4 linked regions of the Neodiprion lecontei genome follow. The main gene of each other region encodes a partner of the protein of the gene in region 2 in a complex. Links are inferred from orthologs where the notes say so. Each region holds a gene or a part of one and is shown on either strand. Other genes may lie near its edges. The genes, in order: spliceosome-associated protein CWC27 homolog, cysteine-rich PDZ-binding protein, pre-mRNA-splicing factor CWC22 homolog and splicing factor 3B subunit 5.

The links.
Region 1: cysteine-rich PDZ-binding protein (region 2) and spliceosome-associated protein CWC27 homolog share a complex: the UniProt entries of both Homo sapiens proteins name them as parts of the minor spliceosome. The link is inferred for Neodiprion lecontei from reciprocal best matches to the Homo sapiens genes CRIPT and CWC27.
Region 3: cysteine-rich PDZ-binding protein (region 2) and pre-mRNA-splicing factor CWC22 homolog share a complex: the UniProt entries of both Homo sapiens proteins name them as parts of the minor spliceosome. The link is inferred for Neodiprion lecontei from reciprocal best matches to the Homo sapiens genes CRIPT and CWC22.
Region 4: cysteine-rich PDZ-binding protein (region 2) and splicing factor 3B subunit 5 share a complex: the UniProt entries of both Homo sapiens proteins name them as parts of the minor spliceosome. The link is inferred for Neodiprion lecontei from reciprocal best matches to the Homo sapiens genes CRIPT and SF3B5.

The regions. Positions count from the first base shown.
Region 1 is NC_060260.1:40,538,914-40,544,408, reverse strand, and holds spliceosome-associated protein CWC27 homolog, read right to left. Parts: upstream 3,656-5,495; 5' UTR 3,560-3,655; coding exon 3,518-3,559; intron 3,212-3,517; coding exon 3,002-3,211; exon of another isoform or gene 2,960-3,001; intron 2,864-2,959; exon of another isoform or gene 2,826-2,863; coding exon 2,625-2,825; intron 2,491-2,624; exon of another isoform or gene 2,431-2,490; coding exon 2,291-2,430; intron 2,201-2,290; coding exon 1,946-2,200; intron 1,874-1,945; coding exon 1,700-1,873; intron 1,597-1,699; coding exon 1,409-1,596; intron 1,347-1,408; coding exon 1,021-1,346; 3' UTR 513-1,020; downstream 1-512. Other genes in the region: dynein axonemal heavy chain 7-like, read left to right, coding at 4,485-4,572, 4,798-5,495. UniProt on the Homo sapiens protein: As part of the spliceosome, plays a role in pre-mRNA splicing. Probable inactive PPIase with no peptidyl-prolyl cis-trans isomerase activity. As a component of the minor spliceosome, involved in the splicing of U12-type introns in pre-mRNAs.
Region 2 is NC_060264.1:28,958,002-28,961,554, forward strand, and holds cysteine-rich PDZ-binding protein, read right to left. Parts: upstream 1,865-3,553; 5' UTR 1,679-1,864; exon of another isoform or gene 1,412-1,678; intron 1,378-1,411; 5' UTR 1,364-1,377; coding exon 1,061-1,363; 3' UTR 538-1,060; downstream 1-537. Other genes in the region: uncharacterized protein LOC107218174, read left to right, coding at 2,421-2,431, 2,681-2,824, 3,084-3,553. UniProt on the Homo sapiens protein: As a component of the minor spliceosome, involved in the splicing of U12-type introns in pre-mRNAs. Involved in the cytoskeletal anchoring of DLG4 in excitatory synapses.
Region 3 is NC_060261.1:13,515,074-13,521,769, reverse strand, and holds pre-mRNA-splicing factor CWC22 homolog, read right to left. Parts: upstream 4,799-6,696; 5' UTR 4,412-4,798; coding exon 3,536-4,411; intron 3,459-3,535; coding exon 3,141-3,458; intron 2,997-3,140; coding exon 2,843-2,996; intron 2,738-2,842; coding exon 2,585-2,737; intron 2,421-2,584; coding exon 2,194-2,420; intron 2,121-2,193; coding exon 1,840-2,120; exon of another isoform or gene 1,769-1,839; coding exon 1,667-1,768; exon of another isoform or gene 1,598-1,666; coding exon 1,437-1,597; intron 1,310-1,436; exon of another isoform or gene 1,193-1,309; intron 1,155-1,192; coding exon 817-1,154; 3' UTR 550-816; downstream 1-549. Other genes in the region: EF-hand domain-containing family member B-like, read left to right, coding at 82-211, 334-532. UniProt on the Homo sapiens protein: Required for pre-mRNA splicing as component of the spliceosome. As a component of the minor spliceosome, involved in the splicing of U12-type introns in pre-mRNAs. Promotes exon-junction complex (EJC) assembly.
Region 4 is NC_060261.1:14,537,289-14,540,599, reverse strand, and holds splicing factor 3B subunit 5, read right to left. Parts: upstream 1,402-3,311; 5' UTR 1,091-1,401; intron 882-1,090; 5' UTR 880-881; coding exon 622-879; 3' UTR 540-621; downstream 1-539. Other genes in the region: exosome complex component MTR3, read left to right, coding at 150-446; TATA-box-binding protein, read left to right, coding at 2,802-3,059, 3,158-3,288. UniProt on the Homo sapiens protein: Component of the 17S U2 SnRNP complex of the spliceosome, a large ribonucleoprotein complex that removes introns from transcribed pre-mRNAs.

The sequences.
Region 1 (5,495 bases), on a different chromosome or scaffold from region 2:
TTAAAAGATAGCAATAATAATAATAAAAATAACAATAGTAACGGGTAATAACAACAAGAATAACAAAATTAAAAATTTCACCAACCCGCTTATTCTCGATTTACTCTCATACATTTCAAATCTCTTTTACGATTGCACGTATAATCCTGAACCGTCAAGTCATTGCAGAATTATGTGATCTTTTCTTATCTTACGCGTGCGGCGTTTCCCACGCTGTGTTTTTCATCATTTCGGCGTGTTTACATTCTTTCATTAACATTCATACAACGTCACAACAGTCTATCAGTGCCGCATATAATCTTGAATTGACTCTTGACCAGTCGAACTACTGGCCTAACTACCGAACGAATGTTTATTTGCCAGTAGAATAAAAAAGGTACGTCTACGAACTGGTTGTGAAGAAATTATTTAGAAATATTTGACAGTGAACATGGCCGTCGTTGACATGCTAATCGCCACACATCGCAACACTGATTAGGCAAATAAAACGTGCAAGGGGTGAAACAAGTGTAGTATCCGACATGAAATGTACCTCTAGAAAAAAGAATTAATTTATTCATTGGATTAGAGTTATCGATACATGATCGTATACTATATCATTTCTACATCGTTTGATTATCATCCCGTTTTAAGTGCAAACATTGCAAATAGATGTTGCGATGCAAATATTTCCACCAGAATAATTTAATAATACACCGCTTTACCTGAATTGAAACTAAATATTTGCGCTACCGGGAACTGGTAGCGGAATTATGTACACTGTGAGTTGCTTGTACAGTAAGTATGTATACATATAAAGAAAATATTACATTTAGCGAATGCCATTTGTAATTTGTAGTCAAATCCTGTGTTTAGGTTGTCGAATTGCGAATGTTGAATCAGATTTGCATTAAATGGATGACGCTTATTCGATTTGTAACAGTTTTGGAATTTATAATCAAGATCAATGGAAACTGGTTGTCAATTTTGAAAACGACACTTTTTTGGAAGTCTATACGGTTCGTTAGCGTTTTATAGTTATTATTTATGCCGAGAGTGTTCACCGTCTTTCAATTTTGGTGTTTTCTCACCGCGTCTTCTTTTGTTCAACGGATTTCTCGGATCATAAATCTCGAACCAATCGTCGGCCTTTGTACTAGCGTCTTTAGCCAAAACTGGCGTTTTTTCCTCGAACCGTAAAGTGTGCGCCATCCATTTCTCGTCGTCAAAACCGTCATCGTCTTGGTTATCTGGTTTTTTCTTCTTTTCCGCGACTTCAGTTGACTCCTCAACCTGTTCCTTAGCGCTTTGTAGCTTACTTCGAAACTTTTGTAATAGCTGCAGAGTGAAATTTTCTCGGGATGCGCCTGTAAGAATGCAGAAAAGTAAAAACACTGTATTAGAATTATACTCTCTGAGGAGGAATTACCTTTTTTTGGCAATTTCGATTTAGCTTCCTTGTACTTCTCCTGGGTTTCTATGTACTCCCTTAAAACGCTAGATTTCTTTTCCTTCTCCTGTTCTTTCTCCACCTGTATCTGGGCTTCCTCTTCTTTTGCTTTTTTTTCACTTCTGACGTCGCGTTTCAAGTCTCGAATTTCCTTTCGTATCTCCTCACTAAAAAGCAATAATGAAATTAATTTAAACGGTTAAAAGAGGTACCAGCAGCCAATCTCAATCTACTTCAAAATTGGAAAAATATATCATCTTCATTACATACGCTTTTTTCTTTCGTTCTTCATCACGATCTTTGCCCAAGTAATAAGCTTCTTCTTCGGGCTCAGCATCATTGTCGATGTTCTGAACTTCATCGATCTTCCGATCTTTTGGTTTCTTATTATCTGATGTACTTTTAGCGTCTTTTAACTTGTTCTTTATCCTTTCTCTCATAGCTCTAGCAGAGTAAAGTCCGATAGTTAAAAAGTCATTAGTTTGTAGATGAATTCGCAAAATAAACATTGCTTACTGCTTTTCTTTACTCAGATTGGCAATCTCATCGAGTGATATTTCTTCGGTTGCACTCTCCGAATCACTATCCTCATCTCCTTTCATCTTTTTACTAGATGGTTCACCATTGTCTATAGCAAGCTCTGAACTAAGCTTAGGATCGGCCAAATTATCATGAGCTGATTTTCCCTTGGTGCTAAACTGTTTGCTCAAAACAACAGATTCCTCTTCATCTTCCTCCGCTTCCTCTCCAAAAGACAGAAGTTTGAAATTTCTGCAATTACAAGGTTTCAGCACGGCAAAAATATTAACAATGTTAACAAGGTAAAAACTTCTTCTAGAATTGTGTAAAAAAGATTAGTACTTCACGCCAGATTTTTTCTCTTTCTTTTGCAGCTTTTCTGCCTCAACTTGTTTGGGTTCAACTCGAGGCTCGATGTCGGTAAATGGATTATTTAAAACCTCTGTTTTAACAATTTTTTGCGGATACAATGGACGATCGTTCTGGAATGAATATCGTATTTTAAAAATTTAGGAAAATCGTCAAAATGAATGTCACATTTGGTACGTTAAAGATGAAAATTTTTTTTCAATTCTTGCATTTTATACTTGAGAGATGGATACTTTAAAACGAACTACTAAACGTACCAAAAATTCTCAACTTCCATATGGGAATATGACGAAAAAATTCCCAGTACCTCATCGACCAATGTGTCCTCAAGTTTGAGCATGTTGTAAATTGTCTCTCCTGTAACTTTACCAAATATCGTGTGTTTATTTTGCAATTCAGGAGTTGCTGCCAGTGTGAAAAAAAACTGAGAACCGTTATCATCTTTTCCTGCATTCGCCATTGCAAGCAAGCCTCTCCGACAAAAACGTAATCTGCTGTGAAACTCATCCTGTAATGAATAAAGAAAATTCTTCAACTTGTATGCAAGTACGATATAAATATTGTATGCGTATTTCTATTTCTCATTGAAAATGCTCAACAGTAATTGAGTAACGACAGATCAGTTTAATTCTACCTCAATAGATAATGATACAATTGAAGACGACGTTTAAAATAGTGCCATACCTTGAACGGGCCATCGTATATACTCTCGCCACCCTCCCCAGTCCCCGTGGGATCGCCACCTTGTATAATAAAACCTTTTTCAACTCTATGAAAAATTGTGCCATCGTAATAACCTTCCAAACAAAGCTGTATGAAGTTTCTACAAGCTTTTGGTGCCTCCTTAGTCCATAATTCTAAGTCTATTTCGCCAACAGTGGTCTGCAGTATCACCTAGAAAAATTTAAGATTCAGCCTATATGCTATAAGCAAGACCTCAACATTCACTGCCGATATAAAGTTGACGATGAGATAAAGCGAACTTCATGCATTATAAAACTGCCGCTGGTATGAAATACTCGTATGAATAAACTGGATGGTTGCTTTTAAACCATATTAAAACGACTTGTACAATTGTTAATCCTTATTCTCGGCGACAATCTTAACAGTAAATCCGTACGAATTGGAGGTTAAGTTGTTCCGCGCAGATTATATTTCAGTATTCTTGTCGCAGACTCGTAAAGTTATTTGGATTCATACCTTCCCTGTTGTAGGCGGCTCTTGTATGTATATGTTACTCATAGTGGTCAAATATCTTCAACATATGCAAAAATATTTGAAAACTTTAGTGTCTAGTAGTTTATAGACTTTTCATATTTCCATACAGGAACAGATGGACTCATCGAGCTCATTCATTGGTCGAGGACTAAATTGTCTATACTTCCATCCGTTGGTAAGTCTTAGACTCTTAAACAAAATTAGCCCCTTAGCACACCTCACTTGATACGTCGGTACAAAAGAATCCTTCATTCAAGTTTGAAACTCTAGGCACACAAACCGTACGTAGAAATTGTTTACTGTTCATTAACAGCTTGGGCATCAAAAATACGCCATGCTGGAAGCTGTGATTTCAAATCAATTCATTTAATTTGACTATTGCGTCAAATGGTTTTATGAACAGAATTTAAGACCACCAACTTCTCCAGAGATTGATTTTCGGGTCTCCTGTAGCATAACAGACTCGTAAATCTGCCATATTAATGCATAAATGCTCAAGAAACGTGTTGTTTTTTTTTAATCATGCTCGATAATAGTTACGATAACTCAACCAATTACAAGGTATACTTATTTACCGTAGTAACTACTGACGTAACACTGCAAGACAAAGAAGAACATATAGGTATTATTGACCAAACATCAGTTCGCTGTCGTGGTTTACAAGTAATTCTTATCACCGCACACATATTTTTCCATTAAAAATTATAGTACATATAGTAATAACAAAACGAATATACTTAAGTTGTGTTCGTAATTATATACGCGCGTGTAAGGTAAAATTAATTAAACTAACATATAGCGAAGTAATTCAAAGTTCGTCCCACTGTTTTTTGCACGATATATCGTTTTTTCTAGACTTGCATGGATGATGTAATAAAAGACTGAAAATAAACTTATAGACTTACATTAAATTGACTAAAATTACTAAATACAAGAAAAATAATTTGACATGGAAAAACAAGAGTTTTATAATCTCGTCTACGGCAAGACAAAGGTGCCGCGAAGACCTCCGATACCAAATTTGAATCAGTTTACAAGTAAGGACTACGAAAAAAATCCATTACTTAAATTTAGTACGCAGAAAGAGCGAACGCGTGAAGTAGTTGAGTTAATTGCAAGCTCTGCCGATAATTTGCGTGCCAAAGAATTATTGATGAGGGATGTGGGTAATAATAGTATTGAGACACGTTACCAACGCCTCCAGTTACCAGAATCGTTTTACATCCAGATTGCAAAATTTTATGGCAATTCTATACCTACAGTTGAACATCCGATAGAGTGGGAAGAAAACATTCTGCGACTAATCCCCGAAAGTATCAGATTCAAATACCCACACATTGTGGAACAAATAATCCACGAGACGAGACAGAAATATCTCGAAGAAATGCATGGATTTGGAATTAAAATGGTACTGCATCCAAGTCTAAGGAAAAAAAATCCTGATCTCTCACCAATCGGGACTCCCTTTGCTCACGAAGGCCGGACAAAAAATTATGAAACGTTTTTGAAAAATCGTTACTTTATCAGAGGACAGTATTTTTTATCCCACAAATTGATTAGGGTGATCAAAGCCAAGGCATACTCTGGACTTCCGGACAAGTTCCTAGAATTTTCTCGCTATCACAGCTTGGGACTACTGGAGTTACACAAGCTGAAGGGTGCCGTTGCCAAAGATCTTCGGAACAGTGGGCTTCTGATAATGCGGCGTTATTACGACGAAGTAGCAAAACTATTAAAAAGACCAAAGTATCTTGATCTATCCTGCATAGTGAAAACTTTGACGCAATTCTTACGCTGCGCTACAAGACTGTTTGTCCAAGAAATCCTGAATCGCATGATAATGACCATAGAAGACTTGATTGAAGTTCTGGGTGATCCACATCAGTGTCCACGCTTAAAGCTCGAGCTCTTTTACACGAATTGCGAACTCGTGATGAATCCATGCATCGAGGAGATCTAC
Region 2 (3,553 bases):
AACGGAAATTTTTTCGCTTGCGCATTTTCGTTTTTCTTTTGAAAAACTTCATGGTGCCACAGAGAGGTTGTTTTCCAAGAACGCAAATTTGCATAATTTCTTTCAAGAGATTATAAAATGACCAGCTTAGACATTATTTAAATAACACAATTTAATAATGTGTAAGATTGGTTATCAGTTCAGTAAATTTACATGGGTATCTTTCACAAGACTTGATGGTTTTTAACTTGACACAAGCCCGATTCAGTTTCTTTTGTAAAATTTGTTCGTCGCATTGCATTATAGCGAATGAGAAATTTTTACGAGACTAAAATAATATCGGCTAATATGGAAAATATTTTCGTACACTTTTTGGAAAGTTAAAAACCATAATTATTTCAGTAATCTCCAGTTATGTAAGCGACGATAAATACACGTGAAAAAAAAAATTTGTTAGTATGGGTGTGTAAATTCTTTTACTGTGAAAATAAAACTACATAAGGATATGACGATTTTATAAGCGTGAATAACGGAATGAAAAAAAAGACAGATGAATTGTTATGATATTATACAATATTGCATATTTTATTTAATTTTATACAAACATCATGATTTATTATTATTATTATTATCATTGCTTAGTATGTAACAAATGTTTGTATCACAAAATAAATAAATCTCATTGTTTACAAAAAAAAAAATAAGGAAGACAGCAATAACAATTGCAGCGTTAATGCACCAAATATTATACATAATTCATAATCCTTCTTACACCTCCAAGTTTTCAATAACCGATCATCTATGGTGCGGTATTATAAAATCTGCCACCGTCGTGATATAAAGAAAATAAGGTCGTACCTTGAATAAATAAATTACATTTTTGAGGAATCAAAAAACCCTGTATTTTGAATTGCGCACAGATTCTGAATTACCCTGGGACTCTCTGGTTATTCCCTTATACCCCGGCAAAAGTGAAAAGGAGGAAAACAAATCTTTGACTCAAATACAGTAAAGAATAGCTTCATCTTGATGATATTTCTCATGTCTTGTTAATCTTCCGTCACGCACTGCTGCGCACCATCTACGTGGCGGACTGTTTGTAGTTTTTAGTACTCATCAGCTTTTTACCGCACATAGCGCATATGGCCTTTTTGTATGCGCAGGATTGGCAATAATGAGATCCGACCTGGTGAACCTTTTGTCTGCATATTTTGCAGGTTTCGAACTTAGCTGTGTACGGATTAAATCGCGCCTTGCTAGTCGACAGAGCTTTGTTTTCCCCAACTTTCCTTCCTCCACTTTCCACCGTGTTTCTGGCCCCAGATTTCCACGGGTCTGGTGTTATTACGCGACCCAATTTTTTCTCGCACTTCTCGCACACCATGACTCAAAAAGAATCTTGAAATGGAAAAAAATTTTCACATTTGCAGATTTTATGCAGTGAATAAATTGCTAGTTTATGCAGTATTTTATGTCGATTCAAGTGGGACGGTATTTAGCTTTCATAATCAGAAAAAAGATCAGAAACAAGAAAAGAAAAAAGTTTCGGGCAATAATAGAGGATTACTAGTTTATGGTGAAAAAACTGAATTTTTTATGTTGGGTCAGGTAACGCTGGGTCAAGGTTAAGGTTAGGTTATATTTGTGTCGGAATCAAACGAACGCGTCGGCAAGTAGAGGCAGTTTGATTGGTACTTACCGTTACTAAAGCTCTAGAATCGACACAATTTCACTGCAGTACGAATCGTCTGATGGTACGTAGTCCTTGATTTTCAAAAGTTCGTGAACTTGAGAAGGGCAGGTTATGTTAAGATGAAAACAAATAACACCAGTCTTAAGCGTCCTTTTCAGGTTAAAGCTCTGTGAATGCTATTGTTACAATGTTACAACTTGACACGAATTTACACCCTAGGCGCGCTGCTAACGGCCAAACTGGACGTAATTTCGAGTACAGTTGGCAACACTGAAGTCACTATGACCACGCGACTTGAAATTTGTGCGAATTCAAGGGGATTCCTCGATTTTCGCGCGCGTAACTAATTTGAATAAACGTAATATCGACTTATTTAAATTCAATGAAATAATCAGGATTGAATTCTCACTACTGTAAGTGATTCAGCATCTACTACTGAATAACCCGAAGTTCTGTTTATTCAGATTTCGCTCACGTTCTATCGTAATTGTCAAGTCGATCATATATTTGATAACAGGTGAAGTAATGAAATAACGTATTTTAGATTAAAAGTCCCTGAAATAGAAATTCCCGTTTACAAATGTGAGCAATGGGCGTATAGAACACTGGAAGAAGAGCCCCATTATATCATACGCTTATCACCGCTCTGACGTATCTGATTTCCTGATTAGCCGCGAACTGCTAGTCACTATCGATATCGTGCAAATTATCAACAATTGCATACAGGCTGACGAAGACATCGAACAAAATGAGTGCTGGGTATGTAAAAAACCCAAACAAACATTGACAAACCGTATTTACGAAACTGTAGGAATACAATATCGTAATTTGAATAAATTATGTCTTTTTAATCATTTGAATCATGTTTCAAAAAACTGAAATTTAGGAGGGCGTAGCCAGAAAATTTTTGACATCTCACTGTCGAGTGTATTGTCACTCACTAGTGAACAACAAAATATTTTCCATATTTTAATTACGCAAAAGAATTTATATAACAATATGTTTCAGGCCCAGCATCTGTCACATTCTGGATTTTCCCAATGAAATTTTGATGAAAATTATCTTCCATTTGAATGCCAGAGAGCGTGTGCCTTTGGGTAATTCATGCAAAAAATTACACAGTCTTATATTCGAAGAGAAAAAATTATTAAGGTGAATACATAATTCCTATTTTTAATTTACTCTTCATATTTTCATCATTCCATGTAAAAGATTAATATTTCTTATCAAATGAAACAGCTCAGTTGAAGTTAAAAAATTCAATCAACCTAATCATCCTTAATGATTCAGTTGCAAATATTAGAATGGAGCTTACATACGTGATTCAATATATACGTATATCAACGAAAATCCAATTATATCCCACACTAAGCAATATCTGTGATAAGATTTTTCTATCTGTGCATTTCAGGAATTTAGATTTTTCCAAAGACGGGCGCCTGACATCAGTTTCTGACATCCGTCAATATTTTGACAACAGCAAAGCAAGCAGGTACATTCAGAGAGTAAATTTGAGAAATGTAAATTTTATAGAGCCGGAGCAGATGCTTAACGATTACATCGGCAATGCAGTGAACATAGTTGACTTAAACATAAGTGGCACAAGATTTGAAGACGTACAGGGGTTGGGATATTTCCTAAAGTTATTACCACATGTAAAGAGACTCTCTATCGACTGGCCAAGACGAATGGAAGATAACGCTGAACCTTGCTGCAAGGTTCTACGAGGGCCTTTAAGCAAACTCACGTATTTGTCAATACAAATATGGCATCCACCACATACAAAAAAGTTTGTCCAATATTTACAAATGTGTCAAAAACTCAAGGAGCTACGCATGATTGGAAGGAAATCCTGTTATGTTCCTGCAACAGACGACCTTC
Region 3 (6,696 bases), on a different chromosome or scaffold from region 2:
TTCGAAATCATTTACATATATTATTGGAAATTCTGACATTAGAATAAAAAAAATTTAGTCATTTGCGTCACAATATTTTAGATGGTACAGCAGCAGAATTGGTAAATCCTCGAAAAACTGTGACTGAAGTTATTTTAGCTTCTCGCATTGGCCATCGACTTTACAGGAAAAGTCACAATAATTATGATGTTTCTGAACAAATCAATCGAAAGTGAGCATTCTGTTGGAATTTTATTGCCACAAAAAATAGCGTTACTGATATTTTAAATAGATGGAATATGTTTATGATTTCCTTGCTTTAAATGATTTACATGTAATTGTTATTTACGACAGATATGTTGAGCCATTCAATAAAAATTACAAGTATGGCAAGAAAAATAGAATCGATAAAGAGGGTAGTCAAGTTAAGCAGTCGATGAGGTGGTTCAAGCAAGATGTTGCATCAATCGTTAGTAACCTCCAAGCAGACTTTATCAACAGGACTCATGCTCCTCTTGGTCGTTCAGTGTGCCATACACCTGAGGCGTATTAAAACTTTTGCATTTTGGGATTTTGGAGACAAATCAGAAGTTGAAACGTGATCATTTCCGGAGGGGTTAACCTTTATTGAATTCAACTGAATTCATTCAAAGTTTATTAACCCCATGAAATCGACTAAATAACAGGAGTGTCAAGGTATTTTTTTTTTTATTCATAATAGAGAATATCTGTTCAAATAAATTCCCAGTATGTTGATGCGTTAGAGGCGAAATATACAGCCAACGAGATATTGTGATTCATTATTTGTTACATTATAAAAATTACTGTCATTATTCACTAATCCTTATGCCTTCTATGCCTATTATTTTTGTCCTTGTGCGTGTTTGTCCGATCGTCACTTTCCCTGTCCCATTCTCCATGCCGATTTGGTTTGGTTGATCGTTTTGATTGACTCAATCTATCATTAGGCGTTTTATCGCTATTCCTGCGCCCTTCATTTGTCTCGTGAGTGCTGCTAATACAGTTTCTATCAGTTTCTATATCCCAAACATCTTTCACGATTGATTTGTTTTTTAGTTTCTTTTTTGTCACTCGCGTTTTGTTTTTCTTCTTCTTTTTTTGGGTTTTTTCTTTCGCAGATTTCTTTTTCCGATGGTCGTCAGATTCAGAAGAACCTAGGAAATATAGATTTTTTTTCTTTCCTTTTTTACAGCAAGAGTGAAGAGTTACGAAAAATGACAAAAAAATTTCATTTCTTTACCTGACTTGTAAATTACTAAAAAACGAGTGGTCCACTGGTTTTTCCAGAAAAAAAAATTAGCAGTTTCAGGTACCGACTTTGGCATGAAATTCTAATCCCCCAAATAATCAATTTTAAGTTGGAAAATTTTAAAAATATACATATTCGCAATTTTTGCGATTGTAATCATTATTTAGAAATATGAAAAATTTCGTACTTGCAGTCTCGGATGATGATGACGACGACGATGAACTCGACGAGGATTCGGAACTAGATGAAGATGAACTGCTGGAACTAGACGACTCTTTTTTGTCTTCAACAAATTCTGGCACTACAGCTGGCTTCGGACGCGATTTCAAGTGTTCTCGTAATTCATCCCTGAAATTACAGCATTCATATAGAAAAATATTGTTGGAATTTCAATTAGTAAAAATGAATATAACTTACGTAAGACCACCCAGACCAATGGAAGTGAAAAAATTGATAGCAAATCTTGTATTCTTTGGATCATCTCGTGGAAATAAACCCTCGAAGGCTCCTTGCAAAGTCCTTTGAATCAAAAAAACAGTTTCAAATAGAAGAAGTACAACACATCAATATCTAATAAAGACATTACTTACACATCTTTCACACGCTGATTTAATTTTGAAAGTCCCATATACTCGGATAATTCTTGGAATAAAATTTTTATGAAGATACGACTAGAGCTGGTAGTATCTTCTTCATTTAATTTTATGCAAGATAGAACCTCCCAAGAAATGGAATCAGTGAACAACAAATGAGCAAAGAATTTGGACACGTTACGTAGTTTGTTGGTGTCCAAACGATGTATTGTATCGTACGAATCGATGAAAATTTGTTCAAACGGCGTCACGTAGATTTTGTTAATCGCGCAAAATCGCTGAAAAAGCAAGTCATTCAATCAAAATACAGATGTTTCACAAAACATTGAGCAACCGCTAAGAAGCACTTACCCCAGCTAAGAGACCAAAGAATTTCTCATATGTCCTCATCTCTGCGCAACAGTCCAGGAACATGTGACATAGTTCAATTTCTTGCCCAGGCTTCAGCTGCATCTTCATCAATTTGTGCGCACATTCCTCAAAGTCGAGAGAAGAATGAATAGTTAAATAAATCGTTCTGCGCAACGCTGTTAAATTAGTTTCAGTGTTGTCGACTATAACATCTTCCTTTGCTTCTCCTGAAAGAATCCGTTTTACTTTATTATATCAAATATTACAGAATTTGAGGGACTTTTAATAAGGTAGGAAATAGTCACTGATATTATATTTTGGAAGGAATTACGCCTTCATCTCCACAATTACAAATTCCATCACAAATACATGTATCTGAAAATCAAGTTACCTGTGATATTACTATCTTCCTCGTCAGAGGAGTTATCTTCTTCATCACCATCAGAACCATCTGAACCGCTACTGTCAGTATCAAGAATCTCTTTGCTCAATGCTTTATATTTTTCCTCTGTTGCAATGTAGTCCGGATCGAACTTGAAAACGTCTATGAGAAAAAAAAATTGATAGATGCCACATTTTGAAATGTCATGTTATAGCTATGCCGACAATTATGAAGTCAATGCAAGCCGTATATTTGTGCAAGTCTTACTCAGTACATCTTGAGGGTCAGTTGCTTCGTCCAAAGTCACAAGGTGAGTAAACTGGTTATCCTCTTCAACAAGGTCAAGCTCTTCATTCACAGCCTCGTGATCTTTAAATCCGTCTTTTCTAATTTGGAATATAACTTCTATCATATATTGTACCTGAAATATGTTCAAGTCAGTGGTGAAATTTAATTAAGAAACTATGCAGCATAATTAAAGTAAAATGGAACATCCTTAATAGATCATAAAATATTGAAACCAAACTAATGTCAACGTTTTATGATTTCAGGTGTTTCTACCTACTCTTTTATCCAGCTGTCCTTCATGTAAGATGTTGCGAAGCATTTCAAATATTGCCTCGATCCCTTTCTTGGAAACCTCTGTGAGTTTCATGCCACATTCTTTCAAAAATGCGATGGCAACTTCGACGGAGTCATCAGTTGGCGTCTCTACTAGTAAAGTTAGTATTTCCAAAGCTAAGATTTCATGGGCAACACGCTGGTTGACCAAATGGGCAACAAACGTGGCCGAAGAAATGCACTGAGCTTTATCATTACGGCGAAATCCACGCTTGAACTGTATGACTAGACGCTTGAGCAACAATTCACCAATATTAGGGAACTGAAAAAGAAATGATGTGAGCATTTCAGAATAATATTAAAAAAAGGAAACCAACATCAATAATATAAATCATGTACTTTTGAATTGATCACAGCAGTAAGTGCTGCATAGATAGGTGTGAAAGTAGGGGAGGCAGCTTGAGCCTGAATAATAGATCTCGCCAACAGGCCTCGACCTCTGACAATGTTCTCGTGTAACAATTCTCTAGTGATTAATCCGATATTGCTGGTGTTGACTTTATTAATGTATCCATGAATGGACTTTTTCAAGGCTTCCCAAGATATCCGCTGGTATGCAGCTCCCGATTTGTCAGTGATCTCAGCCTGCATCATGCGGAGTTTGGCTGGTGGAATGTAAGCACCACCAGTTTTCGATGTCAGAAGATCCACCGTTCGCTTTTGCGCTGGTGTAATTTTTTCTCGTTCATTTTCCACCGTGATCTGATTCTTTTCAGCACACGCGACATCCTCATCATTTTCTTTATCGTCGTAGCGACGTTTGGGTGATTCATTCCTCTCCTCGTGACGACCGCCATAAAAACGCTGTCCTATTCTTTCTTGTTTATTGGTCGGATACTTGTTCCAGTACTGATCGCTCCAATATCTACGTAGTGAACCATTGTCATTCGAGTCATGACCCTTTCGATACGATCTATCATTCTCATCTGTGGCTGTTTGCCTGTCGTCTTCACTTCGACGAGTTCGTTCCTTGTCATTCCTATGTCGTCTCCTGTCTCTATCTCTGCCATTTCTGCTACTGTTGTTGCTCCTGTAGTATTTAGAATCACTTCTCTCCTTTCGCCTACTGTGACGATCACTCTTATCTTCATAGTCTGAACCATCGTTCTTACGTTTACTTCTCCTCGAACGTTTATCGTGTTCAGTTTCATCGTCACTGTTTATCGATGGCGAACACCTCTTGTCAGGTTTGGCTTTCATTGTGTTCTCAGACATAATGAATTATTACCAATTATCACATCAATAATTACTATGAATAAGAATATTGATTGAAAAATTTATGACATTAAGCAGCGCGAATTTTATTTCTCTGTATTTAAAAAAAAAAATTGCTGTTTATAGTGCACTCAAATCAATAAAAATATGTAAGTTCGGACCACAAGGCTCATTATTGCCACAAGACACATGGAACCATTAACCCCAAAAAACTTGTAGTACAAAATGTCAGGTCGGAGCGCTGTGCGCGTAGTTTCGAACCACTCTAGTCGTGCTCTAGTCGATCCAGCCGCGCCGGTATTACGATAAACTCGTATGCCAATGAACGGGGTAAAACCATGTATACCACGCGACAAATACGTTTACTGCAGCAAGACCACAGATCATAATTGATCCAAGTTATACACACTAGGTTTGTTCGTGCTAGCTACACTCTACACTCACAAGTGTAAAAAGAACTAGGGTAGTGTACTAGGGATTGCTGGGGAGTGTACGTTCGCTTCTCGAGTGTAGCTAAAATAGCGCGAACGCAATAGTGTAGAAGGTGCAGAGAAGTGGGGACAAGAAAATGGCGCACGTTACGTACAGTCGTTTTTTTCCTCGAAACACTTATTAATACAACAAATTAGTAAATAAGATAAAGCATTTTTGGAATTTGTTAACGAAATCTTTCATACCTTATGTTTTAAGTACACTGTTATCAAATTGAACCTTGTTTTTGAAGTAAAATACTGTACTGCTTTGTTCTGATTTGGAGTGAGGTTATGGGTTTGTTGTCACTCGTGAGTTTTAGGGTATATATCGCATCACAGTTCACTAACGTGGTGGAAAAACCTGTAGCATTCATGCGAATTGAACCATTTACACTTTTTACACCTTTTACACTTGGTCTAGACCGAGTGTAAAAAGTGTACACAAAGGCCGTGTTCGAAAATTGACTGACAGTACTATCAGCAATTTTTTATCTCTTTTGCGCTGCCGAGTTCATGGATAGCTCTGTCTCTGTCCTAGAGAATTTTTAGTACTGGCAGTCAATTTACGAACATGGCCAAAGTGTAACGAAAGTCTAGTGACATTTGTAAAACGAACAGCGCCATCGACGTCACGTTCGCTAAAACGAACGCGCAAGTGTACACTCCCCACGAAAGTGTAGAAAGTGTAGCTAGCACGAACAAACCTATTAACGGATGCGTTCCGAAATTAGCTCCCAGTGTTGTCAGCCATCTTTTATCTCTTTTGTGCTGCCAAGTTCGTGGGCGGCTCTGTCTCTGTCCTAGGGAGTTTTGACGCTGCAGCTAGTTTCGGAACGCACCTTATTTAGCAGTTGCAAAGTGAACAAAATGGGCCGACACACGGCTTGACGCGAGTAGTCAGCCGACTGGAGCCTGCACGTGAGGTATATATGTGTGAGGACCAAGTGGATGTGTTCGCTACCAATGAAAATGGTGGCTCGTTAGCGTACGTGGTTTAATCGCAGTGTTGATCTACCGGTACAGTGATATTTCATCATCAGGTGAGTTTCACGTTAATTATGAACAAAACGAAATAGACAAAATCGCAATGTTTCGGATATTTTAGTCATCGGTGAAAGATCTCGTATGGTTGTTTCCGTTTCTTTTTTTTTTGTCCGCGTTGCCGCATCAAGTAGTATCAGCATGAGGCGATATGGCGTCGTTCCTGAAACTCACCGAAACGACCATTTTGCTGTTATCAACAAATCGATATTAAACTCGTTTGATTCATTTATAATTCATTCATCCTACATAGGCTTGCAAATGAACTGATTCGAAATTATGGATTGACGCATCATTACTCCTATTCTCACAATTACTTCAATTTTAACTCGTATCTGAGACCCTTTAGGAATAACTTTCACTGAACATGATACATGTTTTACACATATACAATATTCATAGCATATAATTACGTATATATTATGTACGCCCAATTCTTATCTTCATTTCCATCTATTGTTAAATTCAAGAATTAAGCATTGAGAACTAAAATTAAGCTGTGGGGCTCGCTTTTACAATAACTTGTTACAATGTTTTTTGGCTCAAAAATTGTTTCAAAAATCTGTGCTTAATGTGAGTAATGAATATATATTACATTAACGATGCTGAAACTAACAGCCAAAGTCAGCAGCTAAACCATTCGATGCTGGTATAACTTTGTGTCATGGAATTGCTAGCTTTGGCTACTAGTACCAGTTTGATGAATTCGCTTTGGCAAACAAAGAACTATTAATTATGGCCAATAGATTTATCATTCGTATACTTCTCAAG
Region 4 (3,311 bases), on a different chromosome or scaffold from region 2:
TCAAACTGCATTCTTCACATGGATATGAGTCTCTTGAAAATTTCAATTATAGTGTTACAGAAGTGCAGATAGACGGAAAACTGTAATAAAAATAACAGCTGTTGAGATATTTATGTTCCTTAAACTGTTAACGAACTTCTCATTTTCAGGGGTTCTATAAAGATACAATGTTTTTGGATCTGACAGTGGAGGAAGAGGTACTTTGTAATTCTGCACCAGCAAAGCCAAACCCACCCAATAACCATGGACTGATCATGCAAGCTGCTTTACCGCAACATGACCAGATTTCAGAGTTTTTTCTCGTTGGAAGCATTAACATAGATTGCATAAAACAAGCTATCGAAACCCTCACTGTAGCTAATAAGAATATATGTCCAGTTGTTCAGCAATGTTTAGTCAAAACTGTCCTCAGAGCTTTAAAGCGAAAGGAACAGGAAAAAAATTAAATAAAAACATGATTAGAAATGAATGAACCTTGAAATTTTCCATTGATTAGTTTGACAAGGAGAGCATGATGTACATAAAAATTTATACATTCATTTGAGTTGATAAGAATTGGTTTATTTATATTTTTAGAGTAACAGAAAAAATCAGTTCGCAGCTTATTTTTTATAGATAGGATTAATCTTCTGGTTTTTCTGGAGGTGGGCCACAAGGCTGCAGCATTTTCTCCATCAGATTAAATCTGACGCGTGCCTTGGCTTCGTTTTCAGCTAGCGCAAAAAAATTTAGAAGGTCGTAATGCCCCATGTAAGAGCTACATGAATCTCTGTGCTGATTAACCAACCATTCAAATTTCGTTGTGTCTGCATGACCTGTCCCAATGTACTTGGATTGAAGATGTTCCAGCTGACTATGGATATTGTAACGTTCCCCCATTCCTAAATTGAACAATAACAAAATGCGTGATACATAACCTCGAAATTATAGGTTAGCGCTATTAATGGGACGCAATATTCCATAAATTCATTTATCACCGTCTGTCGTATGGCCGAATGTACTCTTGCAATATGTAATGTCAGTTATACTTCACAATATTAACAATTACTAAAATAGTGAAAAATTTCACTTGATATACTTTTCTACTTACTTTTGACAACGCTCTTGATAAGTTTCTAGTACACTTCTTGGTCTCTCTTATAAATGATTAACGAGATCAGTTTTCTAATGTATGTACAAGATTAACTACTTGGTTTTCACAAAAGTTTTGTTGATGTATGTATGCAGGTCCAGATGCCGAGTCCGTATTTTTATCAGTTTTGACACAAAACTAGACAGATATTGTCGAACGTTACAAATCACGCTTCGTCTTGAAACCATAGACTTATAAAGATAGACTAAGCGCTCCTAGAAGAGGCACTGACAATCACATATAAGGGACAGAGATATATCAGGACTACTGCTCTCACTTTTCAATTGGCGTCATGGTGGAAGACAACGGAGCAGTGGAAGTGGAACAGCTGTAGATATAGGCGCATAATTTCGCCTCATTCTCCTCTATCGCCTCGATCCCAGCCCCAAATATCGTCAGAGAGAGAAGGGAGTCTCCCGGCATATTTCTGTCCTTTAAATGTTTGCTTCAAGCGGCTCATAAGACCGCTCAGTCTATCTTTATAAGTCTATGCTTAAAACTGATGATGCACAGATAGTGGTCAAGCTGACCGCATTCAACCTATCTCTCTCACTCCGGATTGATCTTTGGCATACCTGCAACCAATGCCACTTCGGTAGAAAAACTACACTAGCAACGCTAGTAGTACAGAAAATAACCCTAATGTGTACAATTACTGAAGACAAGTTTTGTCCGTCTTGTGTTGGGTGTTTGGTCAGTTCCCTGACACACGCTGCTAAAAGTGGTTCGCAAAATGTCCCTCGATTCTGCCGCCAATCTCCACCACTAGTGGCGCTAGTAGTTGTCTGAAAAGCGTGCGCGCGGTCTACGAAGGCAGCGAGGGTGTCAGAAGTTTACTAGCGCCACGTAGGGGAACTAAAAAACGGGGACAAAACGCATACAATTTTTTAGTATACGAGCAGTGGCGAGTGTCAGGGGGCTGGTGTTTGGCTCTATTTGCGACCTGAAAAAAAAAGGAAAATGATCATCATTCTCACAATGTCCACCACCGCTGTAGGTTAGCTGGTGACGTTAAGATCTTGGCCGTGTTCGTAAATTGACTAACAGTACTCAAAATTCCCTAGGACAGAGTCAGAGCTATTCACGAACTGGGAAGCGCAAAAGAGATGAAAGATTGCTGACAGTACTGTCAGTCAATTTTCGAACACGGCCCTTATCTTACTCATCCTCACAGACGCATAAGGCCCCTGGCGGATTTCCGTCGTACTAAGACAAAATAATCACAGTAACCGAGGGCCAGTTGGACCACCTCTTATTCTTACACCGTGCCCCCCTCCCCCCCCCCCCCCTCCCCCGCCGCCAATCTAACCTATCCTGAGCTAACCTAACCCATCCTCTTGTACAGAATTATTGTTGATACCTTAACCGAAAATGGTGTCTGTTGAAAAATGAGTACAGGATCTCCCTAACTTCGGAATAGCTCATATATTAGAAGAATGAATTTGTGATATTAAATTTAAGTATGTGATTTTGTATGAATGTGTCGGCGAAGTATTAGATTATCAATATAACAGGGTAACGACACTGCACTTTCGCAAATCAACATTACTTGGTCATCAAAGTAATGTGCTAACTGGCCTTAGTTACCAAGTTCACTCGATTATCAAGATTGCACATAGTGGCAAATTATAAAATTTGTATTAAATTGAAATTTACATAAACATCCACGATGGATCAAATGCTCCCGAGTCCGGGATTCAGCATCCCGAGTATCGGCACACCGTTACATCAACCTGAAGAGGATCAACAAATATTGCCGAATGCGCTACAACAACAACAACAAGTCCAACAAAATCAACTACAGCAAATGCATCCGATGGGTTCAAACGTACACGGAATGCCAATGTTGGGTACACCGCACAAAACTATGCACACTTATGCTCCGGCATTCGCAACGCCGCAAAGTCTTATGCAGCCACAAACACCGGTAAACACTATCTATTATTTCACTCGCTTTTTCACCAACTAATGTTATAAAAGTTCTTAACCACTTAAGGATGATGTTTTGCTATTATTTTTTCATAGCAAAATATGATGTCGCCTATGGTTCAACCAGCAAGTCAAATAGCTCCCCCTTCAATCGGACCGTCAACTCCAGGCCCGATGACACCAATGACGCCTGCTTCCGCTGATCCTGGAATTCTACCCCAGCTTCAGTATGTTCCCATTGGCTACTGAA